Callithrix jacchus: one gene and its partners. The protein of the gene in region 3 binds, or shares a complex with, the protein of the main gene of each other region. Links are inferred from orthologs where the notes say so. Each region holds a gene or a part of one and is shown on either strand. Other genes may lie near its edges.

What was found.
Region 1: TAF7 (region 3) and GTF2H3 share a complex: the UniProt entries of both Homo sapiens proteins name them as parts of the TFIID-containing RNA polymerase II pre-initiation complex. The link is inferred for Callithrix jacchus from reciprocal best matches to the Homo sapiens genes TAF7 and GTF2H3.
Region 2: TAF7 (region 3) and TAF3 share a complex: the UniProt entries of both Homo sapiens proteins name them as parts of the TFIID basal transcription factor complex. The link is inferred for Callithrix jacchus from reciprocal best matches to the Homo sapiens genes TAF7 and TAF3.
Region 4: TAF7 (region 3) and TAF9 share a complex: the UniProt entries of both Homo sapiens proteins name them as parts of the TFIID basal transcription factor complex. The link is inferred for Callithrix jacchus from reciprocal best matches to the Homo sapiens genes TAF7 and TAF9.
Region 5: TAF7 (region 3) and TAF11 share a complex: the UniProt entries of both Homo sapiens proteins name them as parts of the TFIID basal transcription factor complex. The link is inferred for Callithrix jacchus from reciprocal best matches to the Homo sapiens genes TAF7 and TAF11.
Region 6: TAF7 (region 3) and GTF2B share a complex: the UniProt entries of both Homo sapiens proteins name them as parts of the TFIID-containing RNA polymerase II pre-initiation complex. The link is inferred for Callithrix jacchus from reciprocal best matches to the Homo sapiens genes TAF7 and GTF2B.
Region 7: TAF7 (region 3) and TBP share a complex: the UniProt entries of both Homo sapiens proteins name them as parts of the TFIID-containing RNA polymerase II pre-initiation complex. The link is inferred for Callithrix jacchus from reciprocal best matches to the Homo sapiens genes TAF7 and TBP.

What each region holds. Positions count from the first base shown.
Region 1 is NC_133510.1:126,833,931-126,837,430, reverse strand, and holds part of GTF2H3 (general transcription factor IIH subunit 3), read right to left. Parts: intron 2,546-3,500; coding exon 2,516-2,545; intron 2,372-2,515; coding exon 2,343-2,371; intron 431-2,342; coding exon 356-430; intron 1-355. UniProt on the Homo sapiens protein: Component of the general transcription and DNA repair factor IIH (TFIIH) core complex, which is involved in general and transcription-coupled nucleotide excision repair (NER) of damaged DNA and, when complexed to CAK, in RNA transcription by RNA polymerase II.
Region 2 is NC_133508.1:6,114,534-6,118,033, forward strand, and holds part of TAF3 (transcription initiation factor TFIID subunit 3), read right to left. Parts: intron 244-3,500; coding exon 1-243. UniProt on the Homo sapiens protein: The TFIID basal transcription factor complex plays a major role in the initiation of RNA polymerase II (Pol II)-dependent transcription.
Region 3 is NC_133503.1:39,749,875-39,754,020, forward strand, and holds TAF7 (transcription initiation factor TFIID subunit 7), read right to left. Parts: upstream 2,801-4,146; 5' UTR 2,024-2,800; coding exon 974-2,023; 3' UTR 467-973; downstream 1-466. UniProt on the Homo sapiens protein: The TFIID basal transcription factor complex plays a major role in the initiation of RNA polymerase II (Pol II)-dependent transcription.
Region 4 is NC_133503.1:140,123,910-140,128,024, reverse strand, and holds the start of TAF9 (transcription initiation factor TFIID subunit 9), read right to left. Parts: upstream 2,801-4,115; 5' UTR 2,731-2,800; exon of another isoform or gene 2,564-2,730; coding exon of another isoform or gene 2,314-2,563; intron 649-2,313; exon of another isoform or gene 574-648; intron 56-573; coding exon of another isoform or gene 1-55. Other genes in the region: AK6 (adenylate kinase isoenzyme 6), read right to left, coding at 1-55, 2,314-2,563; cell cycle checkpoint protein RAD17, read left to right, coding at 3,919-3,928. UniProt on the Homo sapiens protein: The TFIID basal transcription factor complex plays a major role in the initiation of RNA polymerase II (Pol II)-dependent transcription.
Region 5 is NC_133505.1:43,120,438-43,122,965, forward strand, and holds the end of TAF11 (transcription initiation factor TFIID subunit 11), read right to left. Parts: intron 1,430-2,528; coding exon 1,299-1,429; 3' UTR 501-1,298; downstream 1-500. UniProt on the Homo sapiens protein: The TFIID basal transcription factor complex plays a major role in the initiation of RNA polymerase II (Pol II)-dependent transcription.
Region 6 is NC_133508.1:126,117,452-126,121,452, reverse strand, and holds the start of GTF2B (transcription initiation factor IIB), read left to right. Parts: upstream 1-1,201; 5' UTR 1,202-1,269; coding exon 1,270-1,286; exon of another isoform or gene 1,287-3,069; coding exon of another isoform or gene 3,070-3,083; intron 3,084-4,001. UniProt on the Homo sapiens protein: General transcription factor that plays a role in transcription initiation by RNA polymerase II (Pol II). Involved in the pre-initiation complex (PIC) formation and Pol II recruitment at promoter DNA.
Region 7 is NC_133505.1:177,185,679-177,189,178, forward strand, and holds part of TBP (TATA-box-binding protein), read left to right. Parts: intron 1-953; coding exon 954-1,375; intron 1,376-3,500. UniProt on the Homo sapiens protein: The TFIID basal transcription factor complex plays a major role in the initiation of RNA polymerase II (Pol II)-dependent transcription.

The DNA of each region.
Region 1 (3,500 bases), on a different chromosome or scaffold from region 3:
TCTTTATAGACCTCACCACAGCAAAATGATAAAGAAATTGAGGCAAGGTTTATACAGCAAACTGTCAAACCAGGGATTCTTGGCATGGGGTCCAAAGATGGGCTAAGGGTGACCTGAATACCATAAACTCTATGCAAAACCGTGGCTGAGTGCACATTGTTTTGGAAATGCATCAGATTCTCAAGTGGTCCAGGACCCAAAATAGAGAAAAGACTACAACACAATACAGATTCTGGATTCCTAGCCCATTCACAAGGCAATTTAATCAGAATATCTCAGAGTAGAGCATTCAAAAAATGAAACTCACTCCTTCTTTATGAAACAAATACTTTTAAAACATAGGCTCTTGGTTCACCTGTTTCTGTGCTGCGAAGATGACATTCATGAAGTTCATATACTGCAATGCACTGTCTTCTGCAGCCTTAATCACCTAAAAATCACAGCCATGTTAATTCCGCTCAGGCACATCCCAGTTCTCTCACACCAGTGTCACACAATATACTGTGAACCACAATCAACATTATTCCAATCTGTCTTCCCATTTATCATTATTAAATGATACCTAAAGGATAAAGATGATAGTAACATTTCCACCCAAATCCCACCACCCAGCGACAGTCCACGTAAGGGTTTGAGGAACTCATTCTCGAGAGCACCTGTGTAGGTAGGTATATACGACACACACACACAAAATACACACACATGTACATACGCCCAGAATACACATATGCACACACAAAATATACACATGCACACCCAAAATACACACACAAAATACAGACACATGCACATACACCCAAAACACACACTCAAAATATAAACACACCCAAAACACACACAGTCAAAATACACCCCAAACACACATGCCCAAAATACACACGTGCACATACACCCAAAACACACCCACATCCAAAATACATACACCCTGAATACATGCACAACCAAAACACACACATACACATACCCGAAATACAGGCACAAACACCCAAAATACACCCTGAAAATATACACATTCCAAAATAAGCACATCCCCAAAATATACACATCCAAAATACATACACACAAATACACATACACCCAAAACACACATACCCCCACACCCAAAATATACCCCCCAAGAAACATATCCCACACACACATCTAAAATACACACACAACAAAATACATACACCCCAAAGTATACACACCCCAAATACACGCATAAAACACACACAAACCCAGAATACACACACCCAAAACACACAAACACACCGGAAACACACATACATCCAAGATACACATACACACACCCAAAATGCACACACTCAAAATACACACACAGGTGTCAGGATGATTACCTAGGATTCTGCAACCTGCTTTTTCAGTCCACAATATATGTGGGAAAAAATATTTTAACGTTGATGAATTAGAATATATACTGTGCTTCTTGCTGACTTCATAAATATCCACCATTTAAGCAGTTTCCAGTTCTCCATTTTAAACAATGCTCTGATGACACCCTCATGTACCCTTGCACAACTCTCTAATACTTCCAGGAAATAAGCAGTGATTGATTACTGATATGGACATTTAATTTTGATACAGATTACCAAAATGCACTCCAGAAAAATTTTTACCAGTTACCCTCCCATCAGCAATGCATGAGAACAATCAATCCCCAACTGCACCATCAACCTTGGGAACTGCCAGTTTTTTCATTTGTGCAGAGCAACAATGAAAATCTCATTATTTGACATGTTTTGCTTACTAGCAACACTGAACATACTGTCAAACGCTAACCTGACCTTTTGCATTTCTTCTTTTGCAGACTGCTTGTTTTCTACCTGTTTTTCTTAAGCTTGACTTTTAACAACTAATTTATAAGAGCCGCTTTTTATTTTGGAAATATTGGGTTAATTTTCTGTCAGGTAGCTCTGCTGGAAATACTTTTCCTAAAACTTTTTCCTTCATCCTTGTTTTGGGAGTTTCATATTTTCAAGATCTTAAGCTTTGAGTTTCATATCGTGCTTAGCAAGGCACTCACCTTCCCAAACTACCAAGGTTATTTTACTCTAGCACGTCCTCCGCCTCCCAAGTTCAAGGTATTCTCCTGCCTCAGCCTCCTGAGTAGCTGCGATTACAGCGTGCACCACCACGCCGAGCTAATTTTGTATTTTGAGTAGAGATGAGGTTTCATCATGTTAGCCAGGCTGGTCTCTAACTCCTGACCTCAAGTGATCCGTCTGCCTCCACCTTCCAAAGTGCTGTGATTACAGGCGTGAGCCACGGCGCCTGGCCTCCAGTTTGTTTTCTAATTGTCTACAGTTGTCATATAAACAAAGTAATGATTTTTGTAATCTTACCAATATCCTTGATTTCATTTCCTGATTATCTAGAAAGAGAAAAAAGCAGAATAAAATTTAACTAAACCTTACTAAGCATATATGGCTTCCTAATCAATGTTTAAACAGTCCAGCAAAGACATCTGGTAAAATAAGTAGGATTACGGTTCTCATAGAAAAATGCAGGCTCTTACCTTTAATTTCCTTGTTCATTCTATGAATGTCTTAATTTTTTAACATTAAGGAATACAAAAATATTATTTTACTTCATACATATTTATAGTAAAAAGAAAAATAACCTCCAATTTTAAATAAACCTGGCATCTACATAGCTAAGAAAGGAAATTCGGCCAGGCGCAGTGGCTCACGCCTGTAATCCCAGCACTTTGGGAGGCCAAGGCGGGTGGATCACGAGGTCAAGAGATCGAGACCATCCTGGTCAACTGGTGAAACCCCGTCTCTACTAAAAACACAAAAAATTGGCTGGGCATGGTGGTGCGTGCCTGTGATCCCAGCTACTCAGGAGGCTGACGCAGGAGAATTGCCTGAGCTCAGGAGGTGGAGATTGCGGTGAGCCGAGATTGCGCCATTGCACTCCAGCCTGGGTAACAAGAGTGAAACTCTGTCTCAAAAAAAGAAAAAAAAAGAAAAAGAAAGGAAATTCTCCACTTACTAACACGAGAGCAATTGAGGGTTTCAGTTACTAACGCTGCAGTCAACTGGGCTTTGTAATCTGACCAAAATAAAATCTTTGTCTCAGAAAATTAAAATTAGCAACACTTGACTCTCCTATTCTTATCTACCGTGTCCTAAATTTGAGTCCTGGGACAAGTATTGATTCACACAGATGTTCAGGCAACCCACATCAAACTCTAGGACAAAGGAATCACTCAATACTGTCCCTGCCCCCAAAATTAATGCCATAAGACTGAGAAAACGTCACACAGATAAAATGGAAAGGTATTGCCCTATGCTACGTGGAAAACAATCTGTACACCAATGGGGAAGTGGCCACTCATTTACTAAGCTTTAGGGCTCCTAAGCAGCTTTTAAAAGTCAAACACTGTTCCCAAGTCAAGAATATGAAAATGTTTTAAAAGTTCTAATTTATCAAAATAAGAAACAGGAAAGCAGCCTGAAGCAGCGCTCCCTGCAGGCAGAGAGACACAATGGAGAAGC
Region 2 (3,500 bases), on a different chromosome or scaffold from region 3:
CTTCTTGAGAAGACACAATGGGTGGCAGGTAATCAGGAATGTATTCTTTTCTTTCCTCTGCATCTTTACTTCCAGGTTGAGGAAACTGAAGTACATTGTTCTTGCTAACCGGAAATGACGGAATTTGATGTGGGAAAGTGACAGGTTCAATGTTGTGAATATAGTCTTCCAGTTCATGCAGACTAACCCCCATAAGTTGGAAAGCTTCACCAACATCATCCAAAATTGGGTCTGTTCGGCCATCTGAAACAAAGCCAAAAGCAAATCAAATTATTTGAAGAAAATCCCATGACTATATTTTTAAATATTAAGAAAAAGTAGTTAAATAAATATGCAGCTCAGAATCAAGTATTTTAACCTAGTTATTGGAAAGAATTTAATAGATTTTAAATAGAATATCACAGAATCATGCTTAAGCTGATTATTAAAGTCACGTTCAAATACGATCAGACAACTAGCCAGCACACCACAGAAAAAATCCAACTCATGATCAGCTACTCTAGAACAAATATCAAAGTATTATCAAAAGCATCCGGAACTGTGGCTAGCACACAGAAAATGCCCCCCCAAATAATAATAAAATACTGTGGGTTTTTTTTGTTTTTTTTTTTTTTTAGGAGATGGCATCTTGGCTGGAGAAGGTGGTTCATGCCTATAATCGCAGCACTTTGAGAGGCCAAGGCAGGCAGTTCACAAGGTCAGGAGTTTGAGACCAGCCTGGCCAACATGGTGAAACCCCATCTCTACTAATAATACAAAAATTAGCCAGGCATGGTGGCATGTGCCTATAATCGCAGCTACTCGGGGGGCGGCGGAGGGGGGTTGCTGAGGCAAGAGAACTGCTTGAACCCGGGAGTCAAAGGTTACGGTAAGCCGAGATCACACCACTACACTCTAGCCTGGGTGACAGATCAAGACTCCATCTTGGGAAAAAAAAAAAAAAGATGGCATCTTGCTTGTTGCCCAGGCTGGAGTGTGGTGGTATGATCATAGCTCCCTGCTGCCTCAAAACTCCTGGGCTCAAGCGATCTTCCCATCTCAGTCTCCTGAGTGGCTGGGACTACAAGCACCTGCCACCACACCTGGCTAATTTTTTTTTTTTTTTTTCATTTTGTCGAGATGGGTTCTCGCTGTGTTGCTCAGGCTAAGTTGAACTCCTGGCCTCAAGCAATCCTCCTGCCTCTGCCTCCCAACGTGGTGGGGTAACAGGTGTAAGCTAATGTGTCTGGCCCTTTTTTGTTTTTTTTTTTTAATCATCAAGTAAATAGTTGCTGTGCTGACGAAGCCAATGTTCATTATATTTCGTCTGTTGTTCACTGATGCATCTGTGGAATCTTAAACAGTGGCTGGCACATAACTGGTACTCAATAGCTACTGAATGAATCATACAATTAAATGAATTTTTAAAACCTGAAAATATTTACAAAGAAGATCTATATCATAAAAGTTTGGTTTTTGCTTGTTTTTTGTTATTTTTTTAAGAGACAGGGTCTCACTTTGCTGCCCAGGCTGGAGTGCAGCAGGGCGATCATGGCTCACTGCAACCTTGACTTCCCAGGCTCAAGCCATCCTCCCACCTTAGCCTCCTGAGTAGCTGGGACTATCAGTGTACCACCACCATGCCCAGCCATTTATAGGTAAATTTAAATGGCTGGGCATGGTGGTGGTGCACTGGTAGTCCTGGGTGCACCCAGGATTTATAGGTAAATTTTTATAGGGTTTATAGGTAAATTTACAATTTACCTATAAATTTTCAAATGTAATTAGAACAGAAATCAAGAGATTAAAAGTTAGATATAGTAAGATTTTTCTTTATAAAAGCAAGTTTTCCCTATGCCTACCCTTAGCAGAGCTTAAGGTCTCTACATCCTTAAAAACGTCTATGAAAACTCCAGTTTCTGATTTTCAATAGTCTAAAGGATTTAACTGAAAACCTGACTTTTTAACTGAAATCCTGAAATTTGATCACTTCAAACTCAGTATGCCTAAAATTAAATCACACTGTAAAATGAAAAAGAATCCAAATATTGCTAGAATTGGACACATGTGCAGTAATGCATACAGAAACGTCTGAAAGGATATTCAGCCAATGGCTAACAGCTCAAGGGGACAGAAGCTGCAGCAGAGGGAAGCCGGTGGTGGAAGCAGGAGACTTCTAACTCCACATACTTCTGCAGTCTTTCATTTCTTTCTTGAGAACATTTCTTTCAGAAGAAACAAACACCATCAGTTTGTTTTTACTGACATTCTTTCTACAAGTATGGGTTACTTCTGTGATGTATAAAAGAAGGAAAAATAAAACGAATACTCTTCCTCTTACTGAATGTCAATATGCATTTCGACTCCTCTATTCCTATTAAAGCTATTATTACACTCTCAGTCTAAAAAATACAATCATCTTCGATTCCTCCATATCCTTTGCAGGCTCAAACCAAAATTTGGTACTTTTTCTAATCCTATGCCCCCCCACCTTTTTTTTTTTGAGACAGAGTTTCGCTCTTTTTGCCCAGGCTGGAGTACAATGGCATGATCTCGGCTCACCGAAACCTCTGCCTCCCAGATTCAAGTGATTCTCTTGCCTCAGCCACACGAATAGCTGGGATTACAGGCATGTGCCACAACATCTGGTTAATTTTTGTATTTTTAGTAGAGACAGGGTCTCACCATGTTGGTCAGGCTGGTCTCGAACTCCTAATCTCAGCCTCCCAAGTGCTGGGATTACAGGTGTGACCCACCATGCCCAGTCCCCCCACTTTTTTTTTAAACCATGATTTCAGATGTTTTCCTTTCTCTCTATTCTTACTGTCACTGTCTACTATAGTCTAAAGTTCTGCCCACTTCAATCTCTTGTCCACATCACTGTCGATAGAATTTTCCTAAAATACCACTTCAATCATACTCTGCCCCCGACTTACAAGTATGCAATGTTTTCTACTACATGTTTTAATTCTCTTGTCTAGCTTTTAAGTCCCTCCATAACCTGATTTCACTCTGCTGACATTTTTGTCAGGCACCCTTGGAGTGGACTGCATATGGAGTTGATCACCTTACTGGTATTTTGATTATGCTTAACGTCACCTGGACAGCTTAGTGTCTGCTATTCTCTAACCTGGAATACTTGATACCCTTACACAGCCATACGTCATAGCTCAACTCAAATCTTATCTTTTCTGTGAAGTAATCCTACCCCAGTCCATAGCCTACAAGCATCTCTCCTCTTACTCCTCTTACATTTACTCCCTGTACCATGCAAAAACTATGACGGCACTAGTGTTGAACAGCCAGTCTGAAAGACTGAGCAGCTGCTTTCAGTGCATGCGCACGTGTCTAACACGCAATGTGACACAGACAGAGACATCCGCCCCTGAATGCTGGGAGAAACTGTTACCTTAGGGCAAGTCTAAAGTTCATTATTGTTGAATTAATGGTAACTTCTAATACTTGCTTTCACTCGTGAACATTTCTTCTAGCAGAAACAGCCACATCAGTTTGTTTTTACT
Region 3 (4,146 bases):
ATAAATAACCTCAGTTCTTAGAATATTAAATAATTGTAGGAACTCAATTGAAGAAAATTAGAAATAAAATCTTAATTCAAACCAATGGAATGGTTCATTGGACTGCACTTGATAACCACTGCTTTGTTTTCAACATTTTAAGCAGGTAGATTTAGTGCTTTTAAAAAAAAAAAAGCACAAAGGCCTTCATCTACAGAAATTATGGTAAAGAAAGCTCTGTATCTAATGTTTCCCAGCTTCAAGTAGATCAGACAGAATTGGAACCTTAATGTGATGCAAATTTGACAACTCCCAATTTCTTTATCCCTGCTACGTTCCTTTTTTTTTTTTTTTTTTTTTTTTTCATAAAATCCAACTGCTTCTACCTGCAGAACAGGATTAAATTGCTCAGTTACTAAACTCCACCACAAAAACACCTCCCAAGAGAATCTCACTCCCACCAACCATGAAAGAACAAGATACATTATAAGGTGAAAAACAGACGCTTTTATTTATTGTATTGAAAACTTTATAAAATAATTTGCAGTTCTACATATGGGAAACTGCTTTGAATAACTGGGAAAACAGCTATTGCATGGGAAAACATATACAAACCAGCTTCACTGTCTCTAGACTAAGTTTTTCTTATTGATCTCATGTCATCACAAAGCAGCAACACCAGCTTCTAGGAAAATGGATAAACAGCAAAGTCCTGCAGTGAAACTATAATTAAGGTTGAACCATACATTACACTAATACTGCAACTTTCCTACAATCATTTTTCTGCCTATATAATTTTTCTTATAGGATTAACAACTAGCAAAACAAGGTAAGTTTGCAGAAAAACAAAATTAAAAACAAAAGAATTCAACAGAACACCCAGCATTAGAGGGACTAGGAAGGGCAAGGTCTTAATATGCAGTACAAGTAATAAAGCTAAGAATTTTCTACTGCTGACCAGTCTGAAGACTGAAATTCAGTAGCAGAGTTCTTTTTACTTCTCTAGGAGTGATTCTAGCTCCTCTTGCAAAGAGCTGAGTTGCTCCTTTTCTCGATCTTCCTTTTGCTTGAGCTCATCCAGTACAGCCTGAAATCTGTTCTTGAGAGCCAGATTTTCCACTTTCATGATGAGATCCTCTTGTCGTTTTGCCCTGTCCTGGGTCTCTTGGAGCTTGCCTTTCATGTTGTCAATCTGCTTCTGAATTCCCATAACCAGCTGATTGGTTCCTTCATTCTTTTGGTGCTGTTCGTCTGATGCATTTAACTTCTCCTGTAGCTGTCTCTCCAGATCTTCCTCAGTGTCAATGATGTTTATATCTTCTTCATCTTGATGCTGGGTCTCATCTTCATCCTCACTGCTGCTGCTGAGGTCATTGAATATCTCTCGAAGCTCATCATGCTCTAATGAGTCATGGCCCTGCCTGTGACCAGACATTCCTGGAGAAGAGATATCCAGGCCTTGATTTTCTGTCTCCTTTGTTTCATCTTCAGCAATTATTTCCCACCGAGTACTAACAGCTTCAGCATCTGTACTCAGCAATCGTTTCACTTCTTTCTCCACATCTGGAGATTCAATATACTTCTTCTTTGCTGTCTTCCGGAACCTTCTCTTCCTGACATTCTTTAGAGGCAGAGTAATTCCGTGGTTCCAGATGAACTTTTTCTCTTTGTCCTTATCCTTTTTCTTGCTAGCTTTAGGATCAGCGCTAGCAACTGGCTCCTCCACTGGAGGATAGAGATCACCATCAACTGTGGCTACAAGCATCTGAGAGATATCAGCTGTCTTGTAAAAGGTTTTCTTATCAATGGTTTTCAAGCTTTCCATAACACAAGGTAGGTCAACCAATTTTGAGGCCAATGGAACACGGTCCACTCTGACAATTCCATGACGCCCATCAGGGTGTAACTCAATTGTCAGTCTGTCCTTGAGGTTGACATGACCAGACTGTACTGCCCTTCTCACAGTAGAGGCATATTCTGGAGGCAGACGTAAGATAAACTGGCTCTCCAGTTCGTGAGGAGCATCATCTTTGCTTTTACTCATCTTTATTTCTTTGTGACTCACTTCTCCAATAAATGCTGGTTACACTGAAAAGTTCCAGCTACTGCAACAGTTTAAAACACCAGTTTGCTATGAATTGAAATCGTTTAATTACAAGAAGTTCTCTGTAGATCAGCAGCTAAGCGTCTATTTTGCTTCAGTTTTAAGTCCAAGTCTTTTCTCTAAATATGCTGTGACTGAATACCAGTCGTTACTGACAACAATGGCTTATTCACAGATTTTTCATTAAATCAGATGCAATGCCAAGTCCCAACCTCTAGGTGCCGCTGCCGGACAACGCGGATAGAGCTAGCTAGCTACAGAGCAGGAAAGCAAATGGCGGCTCCCGCGGAACGGTTTTCGGCCCAGAAAGCCCAGCAGAGACACTCCCAAGTCACAGACTCTCCCGGAACAAAGACATTCAAAAAATCGGGGCGCAGTAAGCTCTCTTCGCCTCGGGTACTTACAATCCAGTGACGATTATAAGTTCAGTTTCACCCGGTTGGAGCGAACAGGAGGCCGAGCGGAGCAAAGCGGGAGCAGGCCGAGCGGAGCAAAGCGGGAGCAGGCCGAACGGAGCAAAGCGGAAGGAAGCCGAACGGAGCAAAGCGGGAGGGAGCCCAGCGTCTCCTTCTCGTTTCCTTTGTTCTTCCTGCTGGTTTGCAGAATGATCCACTACCGATTACTGATGAAAGGGCCCGGGACGGGCAGCGCGAAAGCCTGACGAGAGCGGCAGCCCGCAGCACAACAACCGTCAACTCGCTGACCCTCCGACTGAGTGCCCAACCCAGCGAAAAAGGAAGTGCTACGTCACGGCGCGGGGCGGGAGGCGGCTGTGAGTGACAGCCCGCCCGGGCGGAAGTGCGGAGCCCGGCGTGCGCCGGCGCAATAGCGCAATTACGGTGCCCAGCGTGAAGTTCGTCTTTTCGCGAGAAATGTTCTTCCAGGATGAAAATGGCAGGGTTTCGTAAGGGCTGTTGGTTTCAAAATATTTAAAGGTTGGAAGTTCCAAGAAAGATACAGATTCATCCCCCGCTAAGCCAGCACTTTTACGGGATCGATTTGGGGCTCGATGGCTTTTAGACTTCCGGGTGATCCCCGGAGATGGAGTCCTTGCTTCTGGAAACATCTCGGATGCTCCCTAGGGTCTTAACCAATCTGGTGTCAATACAAGAATGTGTAGCTGCTATGCAATGGATTTTAAAGTACCCGAATTAGTGGAGTGAGGACATGCAGCTCGCTATATAATTCTCTCTCTCTCTCTCTCTCTCTCTCTCTCTCTCTCTCTATATATATATATATATATATATATTTTTTTTTTTTTTTTTTTTTTTTGACACAGAATCTCACCCTGTCACCCAGGCTAGAGTGCAGTGGCGCGCGATATTGGCTCACTGCAACCTCCACCTCGGGAGTTCAAGCTGTTCGCCTGCCTCAGCCTCTAGAGTAGCTGGGATTACAGGCACGTGCCACTACGCCCGGCTAAGAGAAGGGGTTTCACCAGGTTGGCCTCCAACTCCAGACCTGAGGTGATCCGCCTGTCTTGGCCTTCCAAAGTGCTGGGATTATAGGTGTGAGCCACCGCGCCCAGCCCACAGTCTACATTGTTTTAATTCTGAGAATGCCTGTAGGGGAATCCTACCTCTGGATTTACTTTTGTTCTGGAATACTCCTGGGGAAACAAGGATGATTCCTTTTTATGTGCTTGATTTAGATGTAAATGTAAACAGTGAAGGAAGTGTTCTTCTGGAAGCACAGGTTCATTTTGGACAGAATTGTCTGATAGCTGAGCATCTTTTTAAAGTAGATATAATGGAAGTATTGTTTCCTGCCTCTCTTGTAGCTAATTTTAAATTACTCTGGAAATTTTTTTTTGCACTATCTCTGTTTTGCTGTTTTCTGCTTGTCTTTTCTATGGCTAGTCAGGTATTCTTCAATGCATGCTTTTAGTATTTTGGCATAACTGGATAATAGTACTTATTTCTATTTATTTTTAAAATAAGATCTGTTTGGTAGAGCATAATGGCCATTAATACTTAATTTCTATCCTCTAAAATATTAATTGCCCCTAAATTTAAGAGAATTCTCTCAAGATGTAATTAACAGTTCCAAAATTCACTTTATTG
Region 4 (4,115 bases), about 100 Mb from region 3:
CCTGATTTTGATGCAAGTTCTTTGCCTAGTGTGGTTTTTCCAACCCCTGGTGTACCTGTAAGATAAGCCACAGAAAAATATTGTTTGTGAAATACTACTCATCACACTGTAGCCCACCTTCTGCCCTTTTTTTTTTTTTTTTTTTTTGAGACAGAGTCTCCCCTGGTCTCTGCCCTTAAGGTTCTCAATGAATGAAATGAAAAATCTTCTAATTAGCAATCATATGTAAGTTTTTTTTTTTGAGATGGAGTTTCCTTCTTGTCACCCAGGCTGGAATGCAGTGGCAAAATCTCAACTCACTGCAACCTCCACCTCCCAGATTCAAGTGATTCTCCTGCCTCAGTCTCCTGAGTGGCTGGAATTACAGGCATCTGCCACCACACCCAGCTAATAATCTTTGAATTTTTAGAGACGAGGTTTCCCCATATTGGCCAGGCTGGTCTCGAACTCCTGACCTCAGGTGATCCGCCCACCTCAGCCTCCCAAAGTGCTGGAATTACAGGCATGAGCCACCTCAATATGTCTATGATCTAATAAAAATTTTCCAAAGCTAACTGAATGTCAAAATATTACCCAGTTATTGATCCTTCAAGGGTGAGGCTCAGCAGATTCTGTCGCAGATTCAAACTGCCTGCTACTACCATGGAACTGTTCAGAATAAAATTAACCACCTCAAATCAATTACAGTCATTTATTTACTTTTTTTTTTTAAAGACAAGATATCTCTTTGTTGCTCAGGTGGAGTGCAGTGGCACTTGGCTCACTGCAGCCTTAACCTCCCGGGCTCAAGCAATCCTCCCATCTCAGCATGTCCAGTTGACGAGGCCATAGTGTGTACCACCATGCCCTGGTTAATTTTTGTAGATGGGGTTTCGCTATGTTGCCTAGGCTGAGCTCAAGCAATCTGCCCACCTCCCTCTCCCAAAGTACTGGGATTACAGGCATGAGCCACCCATCCGGCATATTTGCTTTAATTTAAATAGATTAAGAAACTGTTCATAGCCAGGTGTGGTGGCTCATGCCTGTAATCCCAGCAATTTGGGAGGCCAAGGCAGGGGGATTGCTTAAGCTCAGGAGTTCGAGACCAGCCCCGGCAACATAATGAGACTGTCCCAAAACAAAAACAAAAACTGTTCATGTTAAAATGTAAGCAGTCTTACCCCTTGCACCCTTCCCTAGAGACAACCACTGTGAACCAGTTTCCCATACATGTATATCTTCCCAGAGAAACCCTATTTATGTTGCATATGAATGTACATGTATATACATACTTTGTATATACATACATAAATACAACATATATTCCCTTTTACATAAATGACAATACTACATACTATACATTGCTTCTTACCTTCCCCTTTTGATACCTATTATAATTACACTTCAAGATCAAATTTGTAATTTTCAGCTATTCAGGTTTAACATCCCTGAAATTAAACTTGAGCATAAAGATAACAGGGATAATCCAGTTCCCACACGGAAGAGATTAACAGTTACCTCAAGTCCACTATAATTCACCAAGTCTGAACCCTGGACTCAATTATGTTTTCAATAAAATGCTCACTTTAAAGTTTTGACAATGACACAATATTAATAACCAAGGCACTATGTTTGATCCATGCAAAAAGATGTGATATCTTCCACTTAAGAAATCTTAAATGCTAAACATTATTTGTGGCCTGGTTAATCGGCACCTCTCAGAAACAGACATGTCTTGTGCGCTGCAAATCATCTTATGTTTAGATGAACGCTGTAACTTTACTGCTTTATTTCCACCGACTCTTAATTTTTCGGTACGTTCCAATAAAATCTACATGCATTAGATTTTTCCACGAATGGTCTACAATTTAATAAACACTTTAAGGACTAAAATATTCGATGAAGTCGTTACGCAGCAGCATTTTAGTTCCTTCACCGGTAACACGCACCCTGAGTATGGCTTCAAAGACCCACTCCTACGCGAGAAACGACCCGAAATGCTCACTAGATTCCTCTCCTTTAAGGGGCTGGGGAGAACCTCTGATGTAACTCAACAAAGGCATACAGTAATTTAGTCACACCACAAACATCTAAAGTCATTTCCCGAAATCTGATCTGAGGAGCAAAGGAAAAAATAAAATATGGCCCAGGGAGGCCTAAGGAGTGAGGCCTCCACCATTAATGGCTCTACTGGAGAACAGATGTGACCTTACACTATTTCGCTAAAAATCCCAAAGCCAACCCTGCCAAAGAATCAACAACCCATTTTACACACAAAATACCAGATTCAGAAAGACTAAGCAGACTGCCAAGCAGGAGAGCTGATCTGCCGACCTCTCTCCTCCTCCCCCGGAAGTCTCGGGCCACCGGAATTAACGTTCCGCATCCCCTCCCCCACCTCCTGCCAAGCCCGTGAGGGTCGGCTCCCGGGGCGCTGCAGCCGCCTCGCGGCCCTCGGGAGGCCTCCAAACAGAACACTGAGCGGGGCCCGAGGCCCAGAGCACTCCGCAAACCTCGCCTGCCCCCTCCCAGCCCCTCCCGGCCGCGCGCCCTGACCGGTGAGCAGGATGTTCGGAAGCAACATGGTCCTCGCTGCAACTGCTCCGATCACCTCGCTCAAGCGCCCTTTGCACTACGGGGAGGAGCCGGAAGGGGCGGGCGGCAGTGAGAGCCCACGGGCCCCAAGGACCTCCAGGCCCACCGCGGCGTCCCCGGCCTGCCCCGGCGGCCCAGCTGCGGCCCACTAGTTACCTAGCTTTCCCTAACACGTTTCCATCGCAAAGTTGAAGGGTGGGCATAACTCGGGTCGGTGCTTCGGGTCAGGCAGTGCGCTGGATGCCTAAGTCACACACTCCGGCGGGCCCCGCCCTTCGGTTGCGTCGCGGATGCGCCGACCATTTTGAAAGGTCCCCGGGAGGCCGTACCTCAGAGAGGCCCGGATACGGCCAGGTGGCTACCCTTTCACTCGGGGTAGATCCTGTTCGCCTCCGCTCTTCGCCGAAAAGGGAATGCAGCTCCGGGAACGTAAGGCCGCCGCGGCTGCCGCTATAATATGTATATGTCTTAGAGACGCGAGTCTATCTTTGCCTTCAAGCCTTCTTGGGCTCTCGTCGCTCCTCCTCCTGACCCGCCCGTCCCATCTGGGGATGAGAAGATTGAGGGTGCAGAGCCCAGTCCTGCAGCGGGGATTTGCGAGCTCAACCCGGCACCCTACTGATTACAGGATTACGTTGGACGAATATTTGACCTTAGTATTCCCTGTTCACTGTGTGGGGTGGTGGTGGGTCGGCTAGGAATAGTCTTGAAGGTCTACCTCTGACATCTCATTTCAGGAATCTGGCATCTTCAGGGACAGTTACCTGCTTTTAAAAGGAGGTAATTGTCAATCTTGTTTTCAAAGAGTGAATAGAGTCCTGACGGTGACAACAGTCTGCATCTTTTATTTCGAGCTACAAACTATATTTACTCAAATGTTTTGTTTGTTTTTTTACCAACTGTGTACCATTTGAAACGTCAAAGTCTAACCGTGAACGATTTGGGACGAAAGGCCAGCAATTTGTTTTCTAGTACGTAGGGGTGTTTATAGGCGATGTGTGCTCCAAACTGTAAAATAGTTCAGTATACTTTCCAGTGTATAAATTTGTAGGCATTAAAATTCTCTTCTGGCTAACTTAAAATTGTTGAATTCACTAGTTTGCATAAAGGTTTAAGAATTTGAAAACACAATTGAAAAACAGTGTTACTAAGAAATTTTCTAATAACATGATCAAATGAAAACAGTTTTACAGTAAGATTTAAATTCTTTGTCCACAGCAAGTGAATTCATTGTATTTTATTTTTTGGGAAATGTTGGAAATGAAGAACTGCAACTGTAATTTGAAATAAGGAAAACTTTAATTTTCAGTATATAAACTACTCAAATAGAATTGCCTGATTTTAATGACAAAAGGTAAGTAGAACAGTTTGTGAATTTTTTTTTTCTGTTTTTCTCAAATACGTCATTGAGTTCATGTGAAAAACTCCGTTTGTAACACCACAAGTAGTTTATTTATCCAGTTATAGTCATTAAAAGTAAAATTATTTTAGAATTTTGATTTCCTGTATCACTTAAATTGACTGTTTTCACTAATTATTGA
Region 5 (2,528 bases), on a different chromosome or scaffold from region 3:
CTTCCGTAGAGAGGAAAAATTATTGGGGATTGCCAATTACATACAGTAGCCTTATTACTGCGAATCACTGTCAATAAAAGGTCACTTCATTCCCCTCCATTTGAGAAAAACAATGAGAATGTATCTGATGAACTGGAATCCCAGTCGTATTGGGAAACTTCAATGTTGCAATATCTAGTCAAACTTTGAGTGTACTGGTTCTGTGAACCACCTGTAAAAACAAATTAAATTTATTAAATCATAATGGTTGTTGTATATCTGTTGATAAGCATCTGAAATATATGGGCTTTTATATTGTTTATTTTCTCAGTTTTAGGGGGAGATTATTACATTGTTTTTAACAGTGCTTGAAGTACTCTTTTATGAGAGAAAATTTTAATGGTTTTATTAGAAAAAGGACTCAAATTTTCACAAAATAGCCAAAACCAGTTGTATTGGAACACCAGAAAATAATCAACTTCCCATTACCACCAGCTAGACAGAAAATGAATACACATAAGGCAAGTTGGAAAACAGTTTAATGATCACTCACCAAAATCCACAGGAGAATCTTAAATGTTTACAAGCACCAGTTATTCCACGATTCCTGCCTTTACCACGTCCTTCATGGTAGAGTATCACAAGTCAAAGTTTCTGGTTGTTTCATCTACTTAAAACTGGTTGTAAGAAACGAACTAAGTCTTAGCAACTTTAGGCTTCAATGTGAAACCATTAAAGCTCTTGGCACTTAAGGAGGCTGAGGCAGGAGGGCTGCTTCAAGCCAAGAGTTCATGACCAGCCTGGGCAACAAAGCAAGACCCCATGTCCATAAAAAATAAAAATAAGTTAACTGGACACAGTAGTGTGTGTCTGTAGTCCTAGCTGCTCAGGAGATTGAGGTGGGAGTGTCACTTCACTTAAGCCCAGGAATTCAAGGCTGCAAACATGCCGCTGCACTCCAGCACTCTAGCCTGGGTGACACGCAAGACCCTATCTAAAAAAAAAAAAAAAAAACCTCTTGGAAAGATTTTTCTCTCTGAAAGCAGTTCTCCTGTCCAGAAAATGTTTATGGCCCACACTTCTTCCAACTGGCCAAGACAAATACTTCAAAATGCCCCAAGAGGTCCCAAAATTTAGTCAAGGCAAGTATCAAACAGGCTACATACTTTCTAGGTGTGACGAATAATCAAGAGTTTTGAGAGACATTAAAATCATGGAATCCTTGGAGGACTGAGATACTAAAGCACCAGTAGCCAGTCTTACAGGAAGTCCGGAACCAATACTTCTTCTGTCAGTAACAGGCCTTTCTAGACTTTGGTCTAGAAGAAGATGATTTTTTTGTGCTTCGAGTTAGGGATCTGTCCTTTTGACTTTAACCTTCTAACAGCTTCCCTCATATGTTTGGGTTGCAGTGGTGGCATTTCTCCCCATTTCTCACACACATCCAGTGCTAAACAGAGGGTAAGGAGAAAGTCTTATTATCACACAAGAATTTACTAATCACATAATCCTTTTGAGTCCTGTAATTCTCGTTAACCTTTCTTAAGCTTGCTAAGGAAATAAACCAAGACATTTTTACTTTAAGAGAATGATATAAAATGTATCACATTAGTTTTAGTATAACATTTCATATCAGGCTTTATCATAGACAGCAGTTTAAAACATATTTCTTATAGGCCGCATGCTATGGCTCATGCCTATAACCCCAGCAGTTAGGGAGGCCAAGGTGGGAGGATTTGCTTGAGCCCAGGGGTTTGAGACCAGCCTGGGCAACATGGCAAAACCTTGTCTTTACAAAAAAATTAAAAAGCCAGGGTGGTGGTGTGCACCTGTGGTCCCAACTACTGAGGAGGCTGAGGCAGGAGGATCACCTGAGCCCAGGACCTGCTGTCGCAGTGATCCATGATCATGCCACTGCACTCCAGCCTGGGCAGCAGAGTGAAACCCTGTCTCAAAAAAATAACTACATAAAAATAAAATTAAAAATTAGCCAGGTGTGGTAGTGCATGCCTACAGTCCTAGCCACTTGGGAGGCTGAGGCAGGAGGATCCCTTGAGTTCAGGAGTTTGAGGTTGTAGTGAGCTATGATCACACCACTGTTATCATCTCATTTTGTACACCATCTTAATTGATGATTTGTAAAAGAAAAAAAAAAACATGAAAAAAACTAAAGATCATGCCACTGCACTCCAGCTTGGGCAACGGAGCAAGACCCTGTCTCAAAAAATAGTAATAATTTAAAAGTATGTATCTCCTGCTTAAAAAATAAAAAAATTCACCAGCTAGAGTAGCAATGGGAAACAGCCAGGCTTTTTACTCAATAACGGGGGCAGCTCCCAGGGATCACTACATTAGGGACAACTTACCATCCCATACAGGTCAGCCCTGGGATTGCTTTTCTTTTATTTATTTATTTTTTTACTTCCTCTAACACGGATCATAGGAAACAATGCTTTTCTTATATCTTTACTTTTGGCAGCAGAAATGAGCAAAGTCCACTGGAGAAAAAAAATCTAGGCCAGGTGCAGTGGCTCAAGCCTGTAATCCCA
Region 6 (4,001 bases), on a different chromosome or scaffold from region 3:
ACTCCTGGGCTCAAGCAGTTTGCATAGGAGTGTAACTTTGTGATTTCACTTTAGCCTCTCATTGGTTGCTTTCCACAACCAATCAGACTGATTGTGGCACCACTACTTCATTTAAACTATACCAAGTAACTTAATGGGAAACCGCTAGAGGGTATTTAAACCCCAGAAACATTCTAATGGGACTCTTGAGCCTGTATACTCTGTTCGCTCCCACCCTGTGGAGTGTATTTTCGTTTTCAATAAATTTCTGCCTTTATTGCTTCATTCTTTCCCTGCTTTGTGCGTTTTGTCTAGTTCTTTGTTCATAAACGCCAAGAACCTGGACACCCTCCACCACTAACCGTGTTATTGTTGTTAGTAGCAGTATTATTACTTTTTTGACATTAGTTTGGCTAATTAATCTAGGGATATTTTACAGTATCTAGATGTTCTGCCAAGTTTACTATACGTAGCTATCAGCAAAATTTGCAAAGGCAATGAAAAAACAAAATGATCAGAATAGCCCATAGCTTCATGCCTGTCGTACACACATTGCTCTCACATAGTTTTGTTTCATCTCCCAATTCTAAAAGGGTATGCAAGGCAAGATACTATAACCCAGATAAACCTAAGTAACCTATGTAAAGGACGTGCCTAAGAAGACAGCATGCTTGCTGATGACAGAGCCTGAACAGACACCTGTTCTGGATGACCTAAGTGAATTCTTTTTTTATTCCAAATTCCTTAGAAAGAATCACCCTTGGGGCACGTAGGAACTGGCTCTAGAGCTCCAATAGCCAGCTAAAACGGCGCCTAAAAAAAAAAAAAGAGAGAGAGAGAGAGAGAACTGGCTCAAATGGGAGCGCATGACGCGGGGTGGGTGGTAGCGGTGAGAAAGTGGGAGAGGAACGGGTGGTTAGACTTTTAGGGATGCAGGCTTTGGCATCACTATGAAGCCAGGGTTTTCTTCTGACAGGGTTTTAACTCTGTCAGATTGAGAGTAGCTCTGTTGTAGCCCCTTTGCAGGGTTCCCATGAGACTTTTCTTACCTTGACTCTCTTAGCAACATAGCAAACTACAGAAACAGAATAAGAACGTAAGAAATCGTGAAGCACGTGATGTATAGGACTCTGACTGTTCTTGGCCCTTCTCCCGACCCGTAGCCCCGCCCTGTTACGACTGCGTGGGTTGTCTATAAAGATTCATCTCTGCGCGTCTTTCCGCCACATTCGCTTCCTGTTTTCGGTGGTTCTGTTTTGGCTTGTTCCGGGCACCGCAGTGGCAGTGAAGATGGCGTCTACCAGCCGGTTAGTGTGTTTGTCCGAGCCCGGCGAACTAAGGGGCGGTGCCTCGGGCTTTTAGGCGGTCTCCGGGCAGCCTCATCGGGCTGAGCGCCTAAGGATATGGGAGAGAAGCGGCGGGACTGGCGGACCGGCCGGGACAAAGGCACTTCCAGACAGCAGGACTGTCGGGGTGTCGCAGGGGTTACCCAGCTATCGACGTTATTGCCCCGGCGTCCTGTGTCTTCTGTAGGCACCACCCTTTGTGGGTCCTGGTGGGCTTCTGTGTCCCCAGCCCTTGCCCTCGTGTCTTTTCCGAGTATTTCGATCTGCTTTTCTCTTTTTCTCCCCCTACGCTTGTTTTTTCATCTACGACCCAAACAATCAGGGGTCCACAATTTTCTCCTTTTCAAAGGGACGGGAAACAGTTCTAGACCCTTATCGGTCTGACAGCTAGGAAGTTGGGAACGTCAGCATTGGTAAGCCGGATGGAACCAGGTTACCATCGCAGCAGGCCTGGGAAGTGGAAGCTAGAGCCATCGAGAGTTGATTAGTTGCTTGCTAAAGGGTTTGTTTACAAATGTCGTTGCCTGTGTACTTCTGAAGAAAATCTTGTCTAAGAAAATTAGTTATACGTACTGGGAGGTCGTTCTGTAGTATATAGTTAAGAATGCAATGTACTCATATCTACAGGAAATGCATGTAGTATCTTCAGAAACAGCCTTTAATCTTGTGACCTGAAAAATGCTTTCAGACCCTAATTATATTTCTTATTACCACTATGAGGTAGATATTAGTATTTTTGCATAAGTGTAAACTGAGTCATGCCAATGTTGGCTTTTCCAAGGGTAGTGTTAGAGTGTAGAGTCTAAGATACCTGTTTCCTGTTATCCACACTTGGCCTCTGATTAACTAATGTTGTATTGAAAGTATCAAATGAGTTCTACAGCTTCCGGAACTCTGGCACTGTTTTTCTGACCCTGCCGTCGTCTGTGGAATTGGTTAATTTCATAGTGAAAGCCATTTTCACAGAATAATTAAACCTTTTCTGGTAACTGCCAATATTTTTTTTGTGTGTGGTTAGAAAAAAAGAGTTTGGGGTGGGAGGCAGCTTTAGCTAATGTACTGTTCGGATAGAGAACCCTTAAAGCCAGTGACACACTTTGCTGATTTTGATTCTTTGATTGGATACTCATTCTATCTGGGTGGTGTTCTGTCAGGTAAGGCCTCCTTGTAGGTAAATGGAAAACTTTAGCTTCCCCAAATCACTCAAATACGACTTAAGTTCTATCGTGGCTTTTTTTTTTAAGTCTGAAATTTTTTCTAGATATCTGCAATTTGTGTCATTGCAGTTCCAGTTTTTCTACCAGTGACAACAAAGTGTTAAATGTATTTTTCTTTTCATTTTTTGGAGGAGTCTCTTGCTCTTTCGCCTGGACTGAAATGCAAGTGGTACAATCATGGCTCACTGGAGCGGTGACCGCCCCAGTTCAAGTGATCCTCCCACCTCAACCTCCTGAGTAGCTGGGACTATAGGCGCACACCACCGTGCCTGGCTCATCTTTTTATTTTAAAATTTTATTAATTTTTATTTTTGTAGAGACAAGGCCTCATTAGGCTGCCCAGGCTGGTCTCGAACTCCTGGGCTCAAGCAGTCCTCTGGCCTTGGGCTACCAAAGTGCTGCAATAACAGGCATGAGACACCGTGCCTAGCCTAAATGTTGTATTTCTGCCTTTTGCATGTTTTTCCCTCGGGAAGATCTACTGACTAGACTATGAAACTGGCTGGTGTCCTCACCAAAGAGTACAAATGTGCATTCAAATGTAAGCTCCACCACTTACTATGACTTCGGCAAATCATTCTCTGAGCAAAATCTTTAAAATGGAAAATAGTGCCTTTCTTGCAGGATTGTTATGGAGATTGACAGTAATGTATAACACCCGTCATATAGTGCATCCCCAATAAATGATAGCTATAAATGGAGTTGGGGATTATCTGGTACTTTAGTAGTCTTATTTTAATGTCAGTGGTGGTGGTTTCTCTATTCCTTCCCTATTCTCTGTTACTATGTCCACCACCTGATTTGTATGGTTCCTCTTTTGTATTGTGGGTAATTGGATTAAAAGTTTACTAATTTAGCATACTTTTATTTTGATAGGTAAAACATACAAATCGTCCAAAAGCAAAAGCACGAAAGACTAAAATCATGAAAAGTAGTCTCCCTCGTTTCTTGGCTCCCAGCCATCTAAGTCTCCCCTGATCATAGTTACTAGTTTCTTGGTGTTTTCCTAGTACTTAAGCTTTAAAAAACAAACACAAATAGTTCTAACTGCTCTTCTCCCGAAAAGTGTCCTAATTTAAACTCTCTTCACTACCTTGCTTTTACCTTTTTTTTTTTTTTTTTTTTAATGATGTTAGGGCACAGATTTTAAAAGTGGGCAGCTCAGTTACAAAGTGAGCACATATATAAAGCTAGTACTCGGGTAAGGAAATCAGATACTGCTAGCACTAGCTAAGACACTAGCAAAGTCTCTCTCCTCAGTCATTCCTCCTCCTTAGAGAAAACCACATCCTGATTTCTAACACCATAAATTTGTTTTGGCTGCTTTAAAGTTGGCATAAATGGCATTTTATTCTGCTCTCTAGTACCTGTCAGCATGTTGAGGTTCATCCATGTTATTGTGTATAGCTAATTCACACTTTTTCAGTTTTGTATAGGTTTTCTACTTTACTGTTCTTAT
Region 7 (3,500 bases), on a different chromosome or scaffold from region 3:
TCCTGGTGAAGAGGCTGTGAGCATTGTTGAACTGCTGACAAAGGATTTAGAATATTACATAAACTTAGTTGATAAAGCAGCAGCAGGTATGAGAGGATTGACTCCAACTTTGAAATAAGTTCTAGTGTGGGTAAAATGCTGTCAAACAGCATCGTATGCTACAGAGACATCTTTAGTGAAAGGAAGAATCTGTGGCAAACGTCATCAGTCTTATTTTAAGAAATTGCCACAGCTACCACCCTGATCAGTCAACAGCCATCAACACTGAAGCAAGACCCTCTGTTAGCAAAATGATTATGACTTGCTAGAGGCTCACCTGATCGTTAGCATTTTTAGCAATACAGCATTTTTAAATTAAAGTATATACATATTTTTAGACATAATGCTATTGCACACTTAATAGACTACAATATGGTATAAACATAACTTTTAAAGACACTGTGAAACCAAAAACTTCATACTGCTTGCTTTATTGAGATGGTCTGGAACCTAAACCGTAGTATCTCTAAGGTATGCCTGTATCTTCATTTGTAATATGTCCTTCACATTTTTTGCCCTTCTTAATTATTTGTTGATCTTCTTTTATGGAGTTGTCGGAGCTCTTTATTATTCTGTTTACCAGACCTTTCTCAGATGTATGTGTTTCAGGTATTTTTTTTCCCAGTCTGTGGCCCGCCTTTTAATTTTCTCAGTGGTGTCTTTCAAAGAACAGAAGTTTTTAATTTTCCAAAGCTCAGTTTATCAATTTTTCTTCATGTTTATCCACTATGGGATATTAAGGAAGAAAGCAATGTGTTTAAGAATAGCAGGTTCTTCCCTAATTAATGTCTAACAACCCCATTATTCTCAGAAGGCATCTGCCTTTGCACATCTCACCTGCTGTTCTACCAGGAAAGTTCCACCAACACTTAGCACCAGCTAGCCTAACCTGTTTTTCTCCCTGCTTTCCACAGGGTGCCATGACTCCTGGAATCCCTATCTTTAGTCCAATGATGCCTTATGGCACTGGACTGACCCCACAGCCTATTCAGAACACCAATAGTCTGTCTATTTTGGAAGAGCAACAAAGGCAGCAGCAGCAGCAACAGCAGCAGCAGCAGCAGCAGCAGCAGCAGCAGCAGCAGCAACAACAGCAGCAACAGCAGCAGGCAGTGGCAGCCGCAGCCGTTCAGCAGTCAACATCCCAGCAGGCAACGTCCCAGCAGGCGACACAGGGAACCTCAGGCCAGGCACCACAGCTCTTCCACTCACAGACTCTCACAACTGCACCCTTGCCAGGCACCACTCCACTGTATCCCTCCCCCATGACCCCCATGACGCCCATCACTCCTGCCACACCGGCTTCTGAGAGCTCTGGGATTGTACCGCAGCTGCAGTGAGTACTTGCTGTTTTATATGTCCTCCCCCTTAGGAGTCCCTTTGAGCTGTGTTCCTGCTCTGTTTTTAGATGCATCCTTCTATTAAGGGAGTGGCACTGATGGCGACTGTGTATCAAATTGCCTTATCTCACACTTGGGAAAGGGAGCAAAGCTGTCTTAGTGCCCTCAGTGAAAGGCTCTCTTAACAGGTTCAGAAATGTGGTCATTTGTGTTTATATACTTGAAACAACAAAATTTAATCTGAATTCCACTGTTATTATTATAGACATTTCCCTGTATCTGATATCGCTGAATCACAGTGTTGTGATTTAGCTTGTGATTTATATCTTCAAAGATATAAATCTTTGAAGGCCTGTGTCCTTCCCACAAAGTGAGAATGACTGTTCTTGTCCTAAATGGATTTTTCTACCTAAATGAAGTGGGTTCTATATGTAACAGGGTACTTGGGGTAGGAAATAATTTCATCTTCCTGAAAAACCAAGCAAGTATTTCCAAATAATCCCAGTCAATAAGAAGTGTATACCTTTTCATTTTAGAAAGCTTATGACCAAATGAAAAGGTTACTTGCAGTCTCTGCATCTCCTCAGTTTTCTTGTACAGATACCTCCCTCCTTCTTACTCCCTTTAGATCTAGTATTTCCTGTCTGCATGTGTTCATCTTGTTACACGCATGGTTGTAACATCCCCACTTCCTTTCTTTGAGACGGTCTCACTGTTTCCCAGGCCAGAGTACAGTGGTGTGATAACAGCCCATCGTGGCCTTTAACTTATAAGCTATCTCTGATCATTTTTGGAACTAAGTGGTGTGTAATTGTGGATGCTAACTTTCACCCAAAGACCTAAATCTTTCCTCCACAATTTTGTTTGAACCCACGCACAATTTTAAAAATAATTTTAGTGATTTTAGAGAGAGCCTTGTTAGCTCACCCTTGTCTACACCACTCCCATGTGTCCAGCATGCCTGTCTGACTCCCAGGGATGTTTAAGTTTGCATTTCTGATTTAAATCATAAACAGTCCAGTCAGGTGTTTGTTTCTTACCAGTGCCTTTGTCCTGACACTCTATAGAGCATCCAGTCATCCACATTCCTGAATTTCCACTATCTACTAAGAGCCCTACTAGTTTGTAATTCAGTGCCCTCTAAATCTTGTAGGCTTAAAGGAATTAAGGTAATTATTAAATTATTGAAAATATATGAGAATACATTCAACAACTATGTGACTAAAATCTACTTGATATAGTTCATAAGTGAACAAACACTAAAGGCAGGTGTGTATACAAAGGTGATTCGAAGGAAAGAGATGATACAGAAATGAAAACATTGTGTTGATCACCCTAATTGGCTTTACAGTTGTGTATCTTAGATTGCCATTCTCTGTTGAACAAAATTATGAGCCATCAAGTTTTCACAAGTATTGCATTTTGAGAGTACAAGAAAAAGAACCAGAAGCAACAGTGAGCTATTTGAACCCTATGCATTTGAAATCTGGAATCAATATTCTTGGGATGGTGATTTCCAGGTCTATGCAAGACAGTTTTTGAGCAGCTGATACATTCAGAGGGCATTGCCCATTTCAAGTATATATACTTTCATAAGCAGAAAAATGTATAATGAAAATAGGAGTTTGTTGTTTAAATTTTTATTAAAATTTCTAATAAAGTTACTTTTTAGTATATCTTTATCCTTATGTAATTATCCACTAATTTATTGAAGAACACTGAAAAATGAAAAGGGTCAGTGGACACAAATGGCTGTATTTACCCTTATTTACTGAGAGTTCCTTAGAGGAGAAAGCAGGGTTTTGCTTTTTTGTTTTCTGAAAACACTTAGCTCTTGTTTTTCCAAAAGATACTTACTTTGAGAGAACTGAGGCAGTTCATGCCTGTTTATCTTCAATATAAATACTGACTTCTTTTAGGAATAGGGTGGTAGTGGTGGCTTTTCAGAGCTCACAGGTGACAGTTGAGTTTGTCTATGAGGAGGCCAAGGGCGTGGCTCTGGAAACAGATTCAAATCCTGGCTCCACGGTTTGGGAGCCATGTGCATCCTGAGCAAGTTGTACTCCCTTTAAGCCTCAGCTTATTTATCTGCATGTGGGAATACTAGTAACTTCCTCAGTG